4 linked regions of the Saccharomyces cerevisiae S288C genome follow. The protein of the gene in region 4 interacts with the protein of the main gene of each other region in a biochemical or structural test. Each region holds a gene or a part of one and is shown on either strand. Other genes may lie near its edges.

Region 1 (2,668 bases), on a different chromosome or scaffold from region 4:
TCGGAAATGTAGGGGAGGCTCGTATTCCTGCCCAACATACGAAGACAGGAACATTCATCAATTCTCAAGGAACAGGATATAGGCAAGTATCGGATGATCCAAACCACAATCCGTTTTTGAACAGTCAGTATACAGGTTTACCAAGCACTAGCGTCGTACCAACACAAACAGGCTATGGCTTTGGTAACCAGTCTCAACAGCAGTCTCAAAATAATGGCTCAAATAACCGGGGATATACTCTAATTGATTTATGAAGTGATTCTGTCATTCCAGTCCGCATTTCTAATCAGATGAGCATTTTCTCGCATCGCATAATATATATGGACTAAGTAATTTAATCATTTCACAGCGCGTTTTGATGCAAGCGTTTAGTATAAAATGAACTGTATATTTGTATATGTGAGCGCACGATCGCTCCAAAAACTACTTTAGTAAACTAACGTAGTTCAGGACGACTGAAAGAAAATATAGTGCTTTAAATTTATCAGACAACCAGGAATGTCTTATGTCTTTACATGGATGTAATGTAAGTTGAATACTTTTACATATCCATCAGAAGAAGCCCTACGATACGCTCTAAATCTTGATGCGATAACTCTAAGGGACTTTTATCGCCACGTTCTCCGTTAATGTCCTTGTGAGATTGCAAGGACCGCAGCACCGCCTCATCAATGAATATATCCAAATATTTCTGTATCATTGGTACTACTTCATCGGCAATTTTCATATCATTACCACCTTCATTTTGGCTGAGGATTTTTATTAACGCTTCTTTAGATAACATCACCACAATTACTGTGCTCTGTACTCATGTCCTTTCTAAGTGCAATAATGTAAATTCTAACACGCTTTTATGTATGATTGATTTTTGATATTTTGGCCCGAAAGATAATTCTGGTCTCCCGGAAACATGAAGATGCAGCAAAGTAAAAAATAATAGGTAAAAATAATAAAAATACATGTATCTTTTTGGTTGGTTAATTTATCTAAACAGTTTTATATATATATGTATATATATATATATATATACACAGTATTAATATTCTTTCCTTGAGATTACTCTCTATAAAAAAAAAAAAAAAAAAGCTTTTAAAAAAAAAAAAACTCAAAAAAAGAAAGAATATTCAAAGAAAGTTTCATCTTGTCAGTTGAAATGAATAGTTTATTGTGGAAATTATAACAATAAAAGTTAGCTAAAAGCGAAAGTGTCGATGAAACTGGGCAAGTGCACTTGAGCTCTTGATATGGACGGTAGTATTGGTTACAACAATGACTGGTAAAAGAATGAAGTGGTTTGAGATAATTTTAGAGAAACAAAAAGAAATAACAAAGTGATAGTAATAAAAACGGTGCGCAAATGAGGATAAAAAAATCAGCACAGAAACTAGAGAAAACGGATAAAAAAATAAAAAAGCAGAGACAAAAATTAAATTACGACTGATTCTTGTTCAAAATCAATAGTAAAAGTATGGTTACAAAGTAATGTAATTCACAATGGAGATTTGAAAAAAGATAAAAATAATCGACGATTAGATCACAAAAAAAGCGTATCTCACCACAGTAGTTATTTTTTCTTAGATATTCTTTAATACTGGGGTTGTGACTGACCAGGTGGCATCGCCATGAAATGTTCCTGCTGTGGAGGATACCCCTGCTGCGATGGCATTTGCGGTGGAGGATACGCCTGTTGTTGCTGATGCGAAGGAGGAACCATGAATTGTGGATGATGTTGCTGCGGAGGAATAGCAAATTGTTGCTGAGATGGTAATTGTTGCTGAGGTATCGCTTGTTGATGATAGCTCTGTTGCTCTATCGGGAATGGGACAGGTACCGTTTCGTCATTTTCAGCCACATACAATGACTTATCGATAGTGGCCGGAATAGCCGCAATTTCAGTGCCCAGTTCTTGTTCGATTTTATAAAGGTTAAACCGATCATTCCAGTTAATCAAATTGATTGCTAAACCCAAGTGGCCAAACCTACCGGATCTACCAATACGATGTAAATATGTTTCTGCCGTTTTGGGGAAATCGAAATTGATAACGACATTAACGGCTTGAATATCGATACCACGGGTCAATAAATCGGAGCAGACCAATGTACGAACCTTACCTTGACGAAATTCGTGGAAAACTTTATTTCTTTCTTGTTGCTTCATTCTTGCATGAGAGTAATAACAGGAATAGCCTAAATCAGTGATTTTCTTGGCTAGTAATTCGACACGGTTAGTAGAATTACAAAAAATAATGGCTTGATTAATTTGAAGCTTAGAGAATAAAGTATTTAAACAATGTAGCTTTTGTCTTTCTTCAACAAAGGCGTAGTATTGAGTAATACCCTTTAGAGTCAATTCTTCCATCAAATTAATTTCATAAGGCTTATGCAGATGTTTAACCATGAATTCCTTAACCGTTAGTGGGAAAGTAGCGCTAAATAATAAAGATTGGTGAGTTGGAGGTAAGAAGGATAAGATTTGTTCAATTATTGTCTTGAAGTCACGAGATAACATTTTATCGGCTTCGTCCATGATGAATAATGAACAATCAGACAGATCTGCTACTTTTCTCGAAGCTAAATCCAACACTCTACCAGGAGTACCAACCAAAATATGGACTGTTTCATTTAATCTTAGAATATCGTCTCTCAAATTGGTACCACCAGTGGTCAC
Region 2 (3,909 bases), on a different chromosome or scaffold from region 4:
CTTTAATTTTACGGGTTCTTGTTTTACCTTCTAATGAATTTTAAGTTTTGAAAAGCAGAAAATCAGATATTGAAACTATAGATCTGCTTACCTTGAAGTTCACTATTTTTGGAATTCTCCTTGCTAATAGTTACTTCTACTCTTGCTTTGTCCTGGATATCAATGGAAGATGTCCTCATTTCCATTTTTTTTTTCAATTCGACGGCAAGGCGGGAGAAAAGGAACTAGGGATACAAAAATGCAATTACTAATGAAATCCGTGAAATAATCATGGAAATGGGTGATGTAAGAATCTGATGAAACAAGTACAAATGTCTTTGGCCCATCAACTACGATGAGACTTACTAAGCTTTCATCAAATGCAGGTTAGAGAAGGAGAATGGTTTTTTTTTTTATTTTTTGTACATAGATATTAGAGAAATATAATAAGTAGATTATAGATAAGATATCACCAAAGAGATATAACAGTAGGGGGAATTTTTTTTTTTACAATATACTTGAAATATAGAAAGGATAAGGAGGTTGGGGGCGAGAGTGAACCTTAAAATTCCTCTTCCTCAGCGTATGAGTCGGCACCCACTTCGATGTAATCTCTTTCTAAAGCAGCCAAATCTTCTCTAGCTTCGGTGAATTCACCTTCTTCCATACCTTCACCGACATACCAGTGGACGAAAGCACGTTTGGCATACATTAAATCGAATTTTCTATCGATTCTCTTCCAAGCCTCAGCAATGGATGTGGTATTTGACAACATACAGACGGCCCTATCCACAGTGGCCAATTGTGAGTTTGGTGTGGCAGTTGGAGGTTCGTAGCAAATACCGATCTTGAAACCAGTTGGACACCAATCAACCAATTGGACGGTCTTCTTGTTTTTCACCTGCTCGACAGCTCTTTGAACATCTCTTGTTACCACATCACCCCTGTATAACAGACAAGTAGCCATGTATTTACCATCTCTTGGATCACACTTGACCATCTGGTTACCAGGTTCAAAACAAGCGTTTGTAATTTCTGACACAGAGTTGGACTCATGGAATGCCTTTGATTTGGATAAGACTGGAGAATATGAAACTAAGGGGAAATGAATTCTTGGATATGGAACCAAATTGGTTTGAAATTCGTTCAAATCTACATTTAATGAACCGTCGAATCTCAATGATGCTGTAACAGATGATACCACTTGAGCAATTAGGTTGTTTAAGTTTGCAAAGCTTGGTCTTGGGATATCCAAGTTTCTTTTGCACATGTCGTAAATAGCCTCATTATCGACCATGAAAGTACAATCTGCATGTTCCAATGTAGTATGTGTAGTTAAAACTGTGTTGTAAGGCTCAACCACAGAAGTAGACACTTGTGGAGCAGGGTATACGGCAAATTCCAGCTTGGATTTCTTACCGTATTCAGCGGATAGTTCTTCCAACAGTAAGGACCCTAGACCGGAACCAGTACCACCACCAAGAGAATGGGTAAACAAGAACCCTTGTAACCCATCACATTGGTCTGCCAGTTTTCTAATCCTATCCAGAACATCGCCCAAAATTTCTCTACCAACGGTGTAATGGCCTCTTGCATAATTATTAGCCGCGTCCTCCTTACCACTGATCAACTGTTCTGGATGGAACAAGTCCTTGTAAGGACCGTTACGGACTTCGTCAATAACGTTGGGCTCTAAATCCACGTAAATAGCCCTTGGAACGAACTTACCGTAGCCGGTTTCATGGAAAAACGTGGAGAAACCCTCTTCTCCTCCCTTCGGCTTTGAAAGGCCATCTTCTAGATGTCCATCCGGCTTAATACCGTGCTCAAGGGAATATAATTCCCAACAGGCATTACCAATCTGACAACCAGCTTGACCGACTGTAAAGAGAAATCAAAAAAAAAAAAATTTTGCGTTGAAGTTAGTAATGAAAGATGAAACGCCAAAATGAACTAACAAAAAAAAGATCTAGCCTGGACGGGCAAATCGAACATACCATTAATACTAATAACTTCTCTCATTGTTTGTTTGCAGTTGTAAGTTTACAGATCTTGGGTGGCGAGAACTGTTGTAGACGGATATACTGAATTGGGTAAAACGATATAGTAGATGTTTTTGTTTTGTTTTGTTTTGTTTTGTAGTTTAGTTTTTCCCTTGGCTCGAGGCGTTTTCGCGTGGCATAACCCGGCCGGAAACTACGGTGATATTATCGTCTGGCACATATATATATATATATATGTAAACTATACTTATATTAATAGTTTCCGATCGTCTTATTACTCACTTACTATCAATGGAAGCACTATTTCATTACTTAAAAAATACTTTCTATTGCAGGATCTGAAACAGTCAGTTATAATGGAAAAAGTATGCAATTGTGTTTTCTTAAAGAAGGATACAGATATTTATATATGTTAGTTCCTCTGGAATATATCGCTAGATGCATTAAACATGAAGAAATTTGCCGTATGAATTATTCCTGTATGTACACCAAATGTGTCATGATCTTCTTGTTTCTTCAATGTGGCGCTGGCATTCGAGAGTGATGATGCTTGGTGTGAGCACTTGAAATGTCTCCTCTTTAAGAAAGACAATCCTATCCTTTCATGATCAAGGGCTTCTAAGGCGTCTCTCAATGCCAATTTCAAATCGGTAGGGTCTGACACGGTCTGGTAGCATTTATTAATGCAGTGGGTAAGGAAGAGGGAGGGCTTGATAATGTGGTTGGCTGAAATCGGATGGCAGTGCCCGCCATTGATAGACTCAAATTTTACTGTCTTCGTACAGTGGTTGAAGGTCAGTATGAGTTTTGACTCGCAGATCAAATGTATTTTGTACTTTTCAGGAGTCCTTGTTCTTTGTATACGCTTATTGCTGAGTTGCTCGTGAACATTCATCTCACAAACGAGTTCGTACTTGTTCTTATTGATTTTCTTTGTCCTGTAGATGAAACTAATGAATGAATATACTCTAACGAACTGCTCAAACGACAGGGTACATAGGAACTCGAAGGAGGATTTTGGATGCTTGAAAATAAAGTCCCTGAAGTTTAGAATGTTGTTGATATTTTCGATCTCGTCCTTGTTTACTGGATGGTGATATTCCTGTGCGCATGCAATTAGTTGTTTACCAGACCTAACTTTGCTCAATTGTGCCTTTGTTTTTGCACAACCAATGTAGTTTGGAATCTTCCTAATTAATTCCTCGGTACTATCTCGCTCAACATCACGGCCGCCGCCATTCCCGATCACAATTTTGGGCAGGATAGGATGTGAAACTCTGTCCTCTACTGTGCTGGGCACAGGCGACGGTGGTAGTTTCAAATCTGGCAGCTTTATGGCGACCGGGGCCAAAGGGGGTGAGGGAGCCGTTGCTTCAAACTGAGGTCTTGGGGAGGTCATAGGTGTGATAATAGGCATCATTGCGGCATGATTTCGTACAGCGACAGGGATAGTGACAACCTGTTGTGACCAATGGACGGGCGTATTTGTGCTCATAGAAGGCAATATGGGTGTTGGCAAGCACCTGGGGCTGGAGTACCCAAATGTCAGCGAATGTTGTTGATCTAACGCCAATATGATTGGGGGCAGAACGGGCGATAGGCACTGCCTGCCTGGAGGTGTTCTGGGAACGTGCGCCTGGTTGTTGTTATATACATGTAAATAGTCCATTGAGTCTTTACCAGGTTCTATCTTAACTAAAGAACTACTTCTACACAAGACTTAAGGCACCTTCATACGAAAACCCTCTCCACGATGGCGTTCAATCTTTCGTCTTTATATACATATGTTACTTTATATATTTATATATTTACGTATACACCCGAATGTATTTATATATTTGTATGCATATGCCCACACGTATATGCTCAAGAGTAAATTCTCCGACCCGTTTAAAAGCAAGCACACGTCAAGGTTTGCTGTCTCCAC
Region 3 (5,354 bases), on a different chromosome or scaffold from region 4:
CTCGTAAAATCTGCCTTCGTGGTATCGCTAGTAATAGAAGAATCTGTGTGTTTTTTAGCAATATCTGCTGAAGCGGTAGTAGCTGAAGAATTACCATTATTATGCAGATCTTGTTGCTGTTGTTTTTGTAACATTTCTTGAAAGGCCGCAATTCTTGAAGAAGGTTTTTTGGGAACCGGAGGTGGGGCACGTCTCTTTGGTCTTTCAGAGGGAATTTTTGGGATTTTACTTTCCTCTTCGGTACTAATTAGGGTCGAATCACACTCTTCTGATACTCGCTTCTCTTGTGTGTTAGGCAACTCCTCTTTTTGTACGTGTGCTTCAAAATCCTTCTTAGGCCTACTCCTTGGAATCACTGGAACGTCATTTTCCTCTTCACTTGCAATTTGTGAAGGAACGTTTGAGCTAGTTGCTGCTATAACTGTTTCAGTATCAGAAGGTCCTTGCGGCTGAGAATTCACTTCCATGTTGTCCTTGCCTTCTTGTTTCTCATTCAAAGAGGTAGTACTTTCTTCATCGGTTGGATTTTGGAAAATTTTTTCTTCCTGTTGTTCTTGATGCTTCTGTAGCTCTTCTAAACTAGATTCAGGATGTTTAGTGAACTTTTCAGCTTTGTCGTCTGATTCTGTGATTCCAGATGGAGGCAGAGCATTGAGGCTGCCTTCTTCTACGTCCTTACTAACATCTACCTGTACTTTCATATCTCCAGGAATGAGCTTTTCTTCAAAATGGCTTCTATCCCCTGCCTCATTATCTAGGGCAGCATGTACCTTTTGCTTTTCAGTAAGGTCTTCGGAGTCACTATGCTCTGTCACTTCATTATTAGACTTGTTAACTAAATTAGAAGGTGAAATAGCAGACTCATTGCCCTCAGCACCCTCGTGCTCATTTTTTTCGAGTGGGGAGGGATTTGTAGAAGTTTTGTTATCTGATGCACTTCTTTGCCCGTTTTGATGAATGGCGGCCACCTTTCCCTCTTCCACAGAAGTTGGACTTTTTTTCCTGGAAACATTGTGTATATTGTGCTTTGAAATCAAACTTTCAATCTCCTCTAACTCCTTACTGGTGTTATTCATTACATTATTTAGTTCTTCAGTAGTGGAGCGTCTAACTGGCCTCTGCAATGGTACCTTGGGCAAACTCTCTTGATCCATACCACTCTCAAACGAAGTCATCGTCTTTGCTTTAAGTATGGGTCTACGTGTTGGTACATTGGGCGTTCCTGCTGGTGTTGGTGGCTCGCTATTAGCTTTAATATCTCCTGATTCAGAGCCGGATAACGGAAACAGCTCAGATGTCTTCCTCCTTGAGGGCCTCTCAGGTACTTTTGGCGTAACTTCCGATGGCATTGTATAATCGGTCAAAATAGATTTCCTGTTAGATCACCAACAAAACATGATACTTTCTAAATCAGAAAGCTTAAATTAAAATATACTCAATATTTCTCCTTTTCTTTTGCTTCGCGCCTGGTAAAACAAGATTGCTTTCATTGTGCATGTGGTAGAAAAGACAAGTTAAAAAAGGAGAATGTACTAACACAAAATTCAAACTCCAAAGGGGATAATTGCACTCAATTTGCAAGGTTGTTCCATATGAGACAGGAGTCTTCTTCTCCATCGACCTTCCTAGCTTACTGTGCTCACAGAAAGACATAAACCGGGTAACGGCTTTTACGGGGTTACGTGTGTATATAACCGGGCATCACGAAGAGATCAATAGAGGTGCCCTATGCTCTATCACGGAGCTAAGATATTGTGATTCAAGATATAGTAGCTCACTTCAGTTTTATTCAACACATTCCGGTTCTGTTTTATTTTAGTGTCCTTTTTTCTCTCTGATGGCTAGTGCAGATGATTACTTTAGTGATTTCGAAGATGACGAGCTGGATAAACTGTATGAAAAGGCTATCAATAAATCTGTGAAGGAAACTATAACGAGACGTGCTGTACCAGTTCAAAAAGACCTTCATGATAACGTTTTACCTGGGCAGAAAACTGTGTACGAAGAAATTCAAAGAGATGTCAGTTTTGGACCCACTCATCATGAGCTTGATTACGATGCTTTGTCGTTCTACGTGTACCCTACAAATTACGAGGTAAGGGATTATCAGTATACAATTGTTCACAAATCACTGTTTCAAAATACGTTATGCGCCATCCCAACGGGTATGGGTAAAACGTTCATTGCCAGTACAGTAATGTTAAATTATTTTCGTTGGACCAAAAAAGCCAAAATAATCTTTACTGCTCCAACAAGACCTTTGGTAGCCCAGCAAATTAAGGCATGCTTAGGTATAACAGGAATACCTTCGGATCAAACTGCTATATTACTCGATAAAAGCAGGAAAAATAGAGAAGAAATTTGGGCCAATAAGAGAGTTTTCTTTGCCACACCGCAAGTAGTGGAGAATGACTTGAAGAGGGGTGTATTGGATCCTAAGGATATTGTATGTCTTGTCATCGATGAAGCTCACAGAGCTACTGGCTCCTCTGCGTATACAAATGTGGTAAAATTCATAGATAGGTTCAATTCATCATACAGATTATTAGCATTGACCGCTACACCAGCCTCTGACCTGGAAGGTGTCCAAGAAGTGGTTAATAACTTAGATATTTCCAAGATTGAAATTAGGACTGAAGAAAGCATGGATATCGTGAAATATATGAAGAAAAGAAAAAAGGAAAAAATTGAAGTGCCCCTTTTGTTGGAAATTGAAGACATAATCGAACAATTAGGTATGGCCGTCAAACCAGTGCTTCAACAGGCAATTGAACTCGGTATATATGAGGAATGTGACCCTTCACAAATAAACGCCTTCAAAGCCATGCAACAAAGCCAAAAAATTATTGCTAACCCTACTATACCTGAAGGAATTAAGTGGAGGAACTTCTTTATTTTACAGTTATTGAACAATGTGGGTCAAATGCTAAAGAGATTAAAAATTTATGGAATAAGGACATTTTTCAATTACTTCCAGAATAAATGTACAGAATTCACTACGAAATATAATCTTAAAAAATCTACTAATAAAATTGCAGCTGAGTTTTATTACCATCCGATTTTGAAAAACATCAAAAATCAATGCGAAAATTATTTAAGTGATCCAAAGTTTGTCGGTCATGGGAAGTTACAATGTGTTAGAGATGAACTAATGGACTTTTTTCAGAAAAGGGGTTCCGACTCGAGGGTTATTATTTTTACAGAATTAAGAGAAAGCGCACTTGAAATTGTGAAGTTCATAGACTCGGTAGCTGACGATCAAATCAGGCCTCATATTTTTATTGGACAAGCTCGTGCAAAAGAAGGTTTTGATGAGGTCAAATACACAAGAAAACATGCGCCAAAGGGAAGGAAGAAGGTAGAGAGATTGCATAGGCAAGAGCAAGAGAAATTTTTGGAAGCTGAACGAACTAAGAGAGCGGCGAATGATAAACTTGAAAGAAGTGCCAGACGAACGGGGAGCTCTGAAGAGGCTCAGATTAGCGGAATGAACCAAAAAATGCAAAAAGAGGTTATCCATAATTTCAAAAAGGGTGAATATAATGTTCTCGTTTGTACATCAATTGGAGAAGAAGGTTTGGATATCGGAGAAGTTGATTTAATAATCTGTTATGATACTACAAGTAGTCCAATCAAAAATATTCAGCGTATGGGTAGAACAGGCAGAAAACGAGATGGTAAGATAGTACTACTGTTTAGCAGTAATGAATCATACAAATTCGAGCGTGCTATGGAAGACTATTCAACCCTGCAAGCGCTTATATCCAAGCAATGCATTGACTATAAAAAATCAGATCGGATAATCCCTGAAGACATTATTCCGGAATGTCACGAGACATTGATCACGATTAATGATGAAAACGAAATAATTAATGAAATGGAAGATGTTGACGAAGTTATTCGTTATGCGACTCAGTGTATGATGGGCAAAAAGGTGAAGCCAAAAAAAGCCATAACAAAGAAGAAGAGAGTTCAGGAAAATAAAAAACCGAAGAAGTTCTTTATGCCTGATAATGTTGAGACCAGTATTGTTAGTGCAAGCACTTTAATTAATAAGTTCTTGGTGAATGAAAGTGGCGGGAAACAACTAGTAACGAGTAATGAAAACCCAAGTAAGAAGCGGAAGATTTTTAAAGCTTTGGATAATCTGGAGAATGATTCAACCGAGGAAGCTTCCTCCTCATTAGAAACTGAAGATGAAGAAGTCAGTGATGATAATAATGTTTTCATTGCGGAAGGGCAGAATGGATGCCAAAAAGATTTGGAAACTGCCATTATTCGCACTGGCGAAAGTCTTACCACACTCAAGCCACTTCATAATTTTGAACGCCCTAATATGGCTTTATTTGTGAATGATTGTGGTCTTCCAACTAAAATCGAGAAAAATGTGAAAGACATCCGAGGAAATCAACACAACCTTGAAAAAGAAAAGAGCTGTACTGTTGACAAGAATAACATGGTATTGAGTTTGGACGATTGGAATTTTTTCAGAAACCGCTATATCCCAGAAGGTGTTTCCTTCGATGTGGAGCCCAATTTTGTACAATACACCAAAGGGGTAAAAGTTCCGCATTGTCACAAAGTTTCAAAAATCATTACGTTATTTAACGACGAGAGTAATGATAATAAGAAGAGGACAATTGATATGAACTATACTAAATGTTTGGCGAGAGGCATGTTACGAGACGAAAAAAAATTTGTAAAAGTTAACGATAAAAGTCAAGTCGATAACAACAGTGTCAACCATGATTCATCCCAATCTTTTACCTTATCGAACGCAGAATTAGATGACATACTGGGCTCAGATTCTGATTTTTGATAGGAGACTCTTATACGTCGGCGTCTATACAAAAATAACGCTGCTGTAATATTTAAGTATTTATAGATTTTTCTATATATCGCATAAATACTTCAAGGACATTATATTTTTAGTATCAACTTATTTTCTTTAGAATTTTTCATTCATTAAGGATACGGCACTGTTTTTGAAGCAACAAAATATAAAAATTGAGCCAACGACGAGTACAATCTGTAATCTTCCACGCCTACCAATGCAAAACCTTTCTGTCATGAAGCACTAAGCATAGCGCTTCAATTTGTGGCAATCACCATAATAAACAGCTTGTTTCTTGGAGGATATGAAAAAGATTATCAATCATTCGTTAGGTGAAAAAAAACCGCAACAATTTCCTACACTCCGAAAAGTAACCTTAAAATGCAGCAAATTTCAAATTTAATTTTGATTAAGTAAGTAATCTCAACTTTCGCTCTCCAACCAGGCCTATTAACATAAACATATATCTGCTGTCACATAGTGTCATCATTTGCAATTGCTGTTATGTCCCAGGAAGAGA
Region 4 (5,644 bases):
TTTCTTCTGCTCCCTCTATTAGCCTCTTCTGGTCTGTATCTTCTAAACGAAGCAAAAACTGCCCATTGGTGTTTCTTGCTAATAGGTAATTGTAAAGGGCTGTTCTCAGTGACCCCAAGTGTAAAAACCCAGTTGGAGAAGGCGCAAACCTAGTTCTAACAGGTAAAGAAGGATGGATATCTTCCTTTATTTTCTTGGATAACAGAGATTTCTTCAATGGTGAGAGACCTACGCCCTTTATTAGCTTCGAAGGTGAACAATAAGACCGTGTCGGTATTCTCAACATGATCATATTGTTATTTTATAGTTCTTCTGTACCAGATTAGATTTTTGTCATGTAGCGGTTGCTTGCTTTGGTGCCTCGAATTTAATATAAGAAATTAATTATTGCAGCTTTTCTTAAGCGCGTTCTATTTAATTAGTTCTTTATTTGGTGAAGCCTTACATTTGTGAGGTAAGACAGCTGACACTAGAAGACATTTTTGCTAGATGAGACCAAACGTCTTGGTTATAAACATGTTTACATCTATATGTGTATAATTAATTATGCAATAGTGAAAGATTAATCGAATGAGTAGTTAGAAGTTTCACCGAAATGTATCATCTTCGGATCCTCAGAAGGGTTTGGAATCCAAGAACCAGCCATGACACAGTGTATTCTCATCTTTTCATGATAATGCAAGCCAGTCAATAATTTTGGAGTGATTAAAAAATATTGAGAAGTGTTTTCGGCACACGCGTTCTCCACCATAGCTTTATGAACGATCCTTTCATTTCTAGAGTCCATACCTTGATTGATTTCATCAACCACTCTAAATGGTGCAGAGGTAAACTCTTGCAAAGCAATCATGTAAAGAACTGTAGAAACAGCTCTTTCACCACCTGATTGCGTGTGGGAATCTAACTTTTTTAAAGGTGCATTATCTCTGAATTTTACCATGATTTCTATCTTCCATTCAGCATAGTCCTTCGGCTTTTCTAGACGAACCGCACCAGCACTCCCAACATTGTTGAATAAGCGCGCAAATCTTGCAGAGATTTTTGATACAATATCATCTAATTTGGGCTCCAAAACTGCGTGATCTTCTTTTAATTTAGCTTTAATGGTCTCCAAGTCTTTCGACTGCTGAGGAACCGTGTGCTCCAACTCTCTCAGTTCGGCTGTGACTTGATCCAAAATTGTTACGGCTGACTCGTCGTGGTTTACCATAGCTATCTCCGATTCTAATTTATCGAGAACATCCTGAACGAATGACAGATTGAAATTCCCTTCCTCCTCGTATTTTTCTGCCACTTTATTCAATTTTTCCTTAGTGTCTTGGTCATAAGACCTGATTTCTCTCATCCATGATTGAAATTCAGGAGTGTCTCTCATTTCTTTTACGAACTTTTTCTTGTCTTCATATTGGCTCTTCAAATCAGCTTCCCTCTCATTGAAAAAACCAATTACGTCATTCATAGAAACATCCATATTTTGGGCTTCAAATTGAAGGATTTGAGTACTTATTAACTCCTTCTGACAATTCTTTAAACTCTTCATTGAAGAGGCCATTTTAGACAGCAAATGTCTTTGCTTGAGTAATAGTTGTTGGATCTGATCATCAATATCTTTAATCTTTTGAGATACGTCCTTTCTAGCTTCACGTTTCAGTTGATCTAATTTCTCTCTTAAAGTCTCTATTGTACTTTTTCTCATAGTGTACTTCTTGCGAATCTCATTTAATTGATGAGCTTCCCTATTAATATCGTCGTTTTTTGACGCCAACTCAGATAATTCGTGCCTATAACCACTTTTCTGGTTTGACAATGCATCTAACGTAGATTTTCGATCGTTGTATTCATTCTTTAAGTTGATAATTTCATTTTCAATTCTAATTTTCTGCTCATTTGACATGATTGATCCCTGATAAAAATTAGTTTGTTTAATACTAACGTCAGTAGGAAAGACCTGCTTACTACCATATGCTGATTGCTTGATATCGACTAACCTATTCCCATGAATAATCCTTTTAAAAAGAATTTTCCCATTCGGTCTTGGTGTAATCAACTTCTTTATCTGAGCAGGCGTCAATTCCCTTCTTGATACCGGTATAGTATGAATTTTGCTAGTTTGACAAAGCATTTTCATAACCCTCTTATCACCGGTAATAAAATCGGATAGATAACCCTCAAATCCCAGGTCCCTCACCGTTTCCGCTGGTACAGGAGGGGTGGTGTCTGCACTGGAGAGTTCTCTCAAATTAACCTTGAATTTGTCAAGAATTGGATTTGCAAATAGCTTGTAAGAATCAGAATCAACAACAGTCAAGGCTTTACTCGTATTATAATCCACACATTGTGCTAAATATGCAGCAAATTGAGCGTTAATGGCAGACACGGTCATTATTGGCGGTTCTAGAATTTTATCTTTCATTTCTGGATGCTCTCTAACCATCAACACAGCATCACGGACCTCCTTTAAATCCTGGTCCTGATTTAAGATACCGATTTTATCAGTTGTTGTAAGGGATTTGGTCTTGCTTTCAGCTTGTCTCTGTATGCTTCTCATCTCATGATTAATAGCGTTCGCCTTCGCATCAATTTCGGAAATAAGATCCCTAATTTCGCCTTCTTTATTAATAATTTCCTTTCTTTTAATGTCTATATCTTCAAATACGCTTTTCTCAGGAAGATGTGTTTGTGCTAATATTTCCTGACTCCTTAGAAAATCTTCCTTTGTACTAATAATGGTGGCCTGTAGTTTTTTGGTTCTTCCTCTATAATATTCGTTCTGGTTTTTCTTTTTGATGACCTCATCCCTAATAGTATTTAATTTTTCGAAGATTTCGTTGATCTTTTCTTTTGCTTTCAGGAACTCATCAGTTTTTAGGGAACACTTCTCTGTTAACTCTTCCACCTGATTTTCCAAAGTCTTCTTAGTATTTGCAAATGGTTTTTTATCCTTCAGTATAGCCCTTAAGTTCGCTTTCGCTCGTTCGTATTCTTCTTTATATATGTTTAGCTTTTCTTTATGGTCCTTTACTTTCACATAAGGTAATAGTTGGGAGTGTAACTCGATTTCACCCTTCTTATTTTGAAAATCTCGTAAAGATTCAACTGATTTACGTAGTTTATCACTTTCTTGTCTCAAATGAACAATTTTAGCTTTTTTAAAATCGAGATCTTTTTGCAAGCTTTGCTCATTTCCTTGTAATTCCCTTAGTTCATCCAACACATCCAATAAGCTTGCATCGATTGACCTTATAGTCTCTACTAATAATTTAACTGACTTCAAGCGAGCAAACTCCTCAACACGCTCTTGAGATAAAAATTGACAAAGATTATCCAACTGAATGTTCAGCTGAGCAACTAAAGTTTTAACTACACTCTCAGATACCTGGTAGTCATTTATTAGATAATCCGATCTCCTCTTGGATCTCGTAATAATCCTGGTAATCTTTATTGTTTCATCACGTGCGTCTATGTATTCAATATCAGTAACATTTGGTGAATTTTTCAAGGTGATTTCAATTTTTGAAACATCTTGACCATTTTTGATGAAATCTTCCACTTTTTTACTCCTACCAATATACTCGGGTTTACCAGCCAATCCTAAACACACTGCGCATACGAAAGTAGATTTTCCAGATCCGTTTGGCCCAATGATCATATTTAAAGACGGTGAAAGATTGAATTCGGTTAAAGTGTAAGTAACAAAATCCTGTAAACGGATCTTAATAATGCTGCCTGGTTGGAAGGAAGACAAGTCAGGTTTTGCGATTTTTACCCTTTTCGATCTTGGCTCTGTATCTTCTCCATGATGCGTTCTTTCAACATATCTGCCCAAATCTATTAGACTGGTCATGCTAGGGATATAGCTTTTATGTACCACGCCCTTTTATTTGATATACTTCCTTTAGAATTGCGTACACGTACTTGTGAAAGTAAATACCTATTATCGGCATCTTGTCATCGCATAAAAAGGTAATCCAACGCGAAAGTTAACGCCATAATATAGCCCAGTCATCCTGAACGGTCTACAAGATTAATAAGATCAGCTATGCCAGCTTGTTGAAATAATTAGTGGCAACAAGTGTGTTGTCAGACAAATGTGATTATTTACATTTACAAAGATAGAAAGGAAATATCAAAACTATAAGAGTACACTACGGGCTAGAAAAAAAATAAAGGAAATGTTTCTTACATTAGTATCAGTGTAGCGGTTCTGTAAAGGTTAATCTTTGTTTGATTCAATCACGAAAAATCTGCTGCAAATTGCTACCTCTTTCATCATTCTAAAGTAAGTCCTTCTCTTATTCCTAGATGTTCGAGCAATACCAATTAAACTTGGCACGATGCGTGCAATTAAGAGTAATCGGGCACTGCACTCCGACTGGAGTCCGACGAATATCGTAGTGATCTTTTTTATCTACAGTACTGGTTGCTTATATCTTCCAGTGTATATATTCAATGTGGGAAGGAGGGAAAGGTCATTTTGCTAATTTTCATTTTTTCTCGCCTTTTAAAGCATGAGAAGAAAAGTTGACCATGTGTGCCAAAAAAAAAAAAGGTAGGGCTACCATCCTAATTAGAGTAATTTAAGGAATTTATTAAAATGCAATGTTAACTTTTTATAGAGTGCGTAAATAACTATGTAATGGTAAATACATGGCATACAGTATATGCGTGTTTACCACCATATATACGTGTATACTTATATTTTGTCTGCCGTTATATATAGCCAAGACCTTTTTCCTTCATGGGTTGTTCAACTTTCCACGGTAAAATCGGACATAATCAGACCATATCTTATTCATGGAAATTCGTTTCTTTTTCAAATACTGCAGGTCCTTATCACTGCACCATCTACAAGATGCAAATTTTCTTTCCAAAACAGCATACCTTTCATCTTCCTTGCGTTGCTGCTGAGCCAGGATTTCCACGTATTCCTTGGCATTGAGCTTCATGCCTTCTTTGTTTCTTAAATTGGTAATGCATAATCCGATGGTAGATTGCGTTTGTAACGACGAGCGATTGATGCGATGAGTACCCTCTGTGACAGAGAGTACGGGAACAAAACTTTGTAAGGCTTCTTTATCCAGATATATTTCACTTGGCTTTGTTTGCTGTTCAGGCAGTACATTTTTTTTGCTTGAATTTTTAGACAGTATCTTTCTACTTGACGTTCTTTTAGGAACATTAATCTTACCTTCTTCGCGTAGTGGAGAGATGTCGTCTGTTGATGATTCTGGAAGAGATGTTGATGCTCGATTAAATGTACTCACGCCATCTATTGAAACTCGATCATTTTCTTTTGAGACTGGCGTTGTCGGATGTCCTCCCACGGTTGATAAAGAGGAAAACGACAATTCTGTAGGCCCCGTAGTCACCATAGATTTGGGTGATAAAGTGAGAATTTCCTTACTATTATTACTGTCGCTCAATATTCTAGTAAAACCTCTCTTTATCTTAGAACCTAGAGATGTCTTTCTGTAGACGTGTTCTGTGTCATTTGGAGTGGACACTAAGACCTCCTCCGAAGCTCGACTGCTATTCGCAAACTTGCTGTCCGAATTGAGGCGCGAATAAAGCTTCGAGCACGAAAGCTGCCTCCTAGGTAGTTTATTATCAATAGTGGAAGATCGTCGAATTAGCATGGGCTGCC

Evidence for each region.
Region 1: the proteins of SMC5 (region 4) and MHF2 form a complex in vitro, tested with the Saccharomyces cerevisiae proteins (one study listed by BioGRID).
Region 2: the proteins of SMC5 (region 4) and TUB1 form a complex in vitro, tested with the Saccharomyces cerevisiae proteins (one study listed by BioGRID).
Region 3: the proteins of SMC5 (region 4) and MPH1 form a complex in vitro, tested with the Saccharomyces cerevisiae proteins (2 studies listed by BioGRID).

What each region holds. Positions count from the first base shown.
Region 1 is NC_001136.10:168,825-171,492, forward strand, and holds MHF2 (Mhf2p), read right to left. Parts: upstream 785-2,668; coding exon 542-784; downstream 1-541. Other genes in the region: ENT1 (epsin), read left to right, coding at 1-254; DExD/H-box ATP-dependent RNA helicase DHH1, read right to left, coding at 1,586-2,668. UniProt on the Saccharomyces cerevisiae protein: DNA-binding component of a FANCM-MHF complex involved in DNA damage repair and genome maintenance. FANCM-MHF promotes gene conversion at blocked replication forks, probably by reversal of the stalled fork.
Region 2 is NC_001145.3:97,400-101,308, forward strand, and holds TUB1 (alpha-tubulin TUB1), read right to left. Parts: upstream 2,002-3,909; coding exon 1,977-2,001; intron 1,861-1,976; coding exon 542-1,860; downstream 1-541. Other genes in the region: YML083C (uncharacterized protein), read right to left, coding at 2,395-3,651. UniProt on the Saccharomyces cerevisiae protein: Tubulin is the major constituent of microtubules, a cylinder consisting of laterally associated linear protofilaments composed of alpha- and beta-tubulin heterodimers.
Region 3 is NC_001141.2:356,880-362,233, reverse strand, and holds MPH1 (3'-5' DNA helicase), read left to right. Parts: upstream 1-1,837; coding exon 1,838-4,819; downstream 4,820-5,354. Other genes in the region: AIM21 (Aim21p), read right to left, coding at 1-1,349; SGN1 (Sgn1p), read left to right, coding at 5,339-5,354. UniProt on the Saccharomyces cerevisiae protein: ATP-dependent DNA helicase involved in DNA damage repair by homologous recombination and in genome maintenance. Capable of unwinding D-loops. Plays a role in limiting crossover recombinants during mitotic DNA double-strand break (DSB) repair.
Region 4 is NC_001147.6:258,123-263,766, reverse strand, and holds SMC5 (DNA repair ATPase SMC5), read right to left. Parts: upstream 3,845-5,644; coding exon 563-3,844; downstream 1-562. Other genes in the region: glutamate--tRNA ligase MSE1, read right to left, coding at 1-292; YOL036W (uncharacterized protein), read right to left, coding at 4,737-5,644.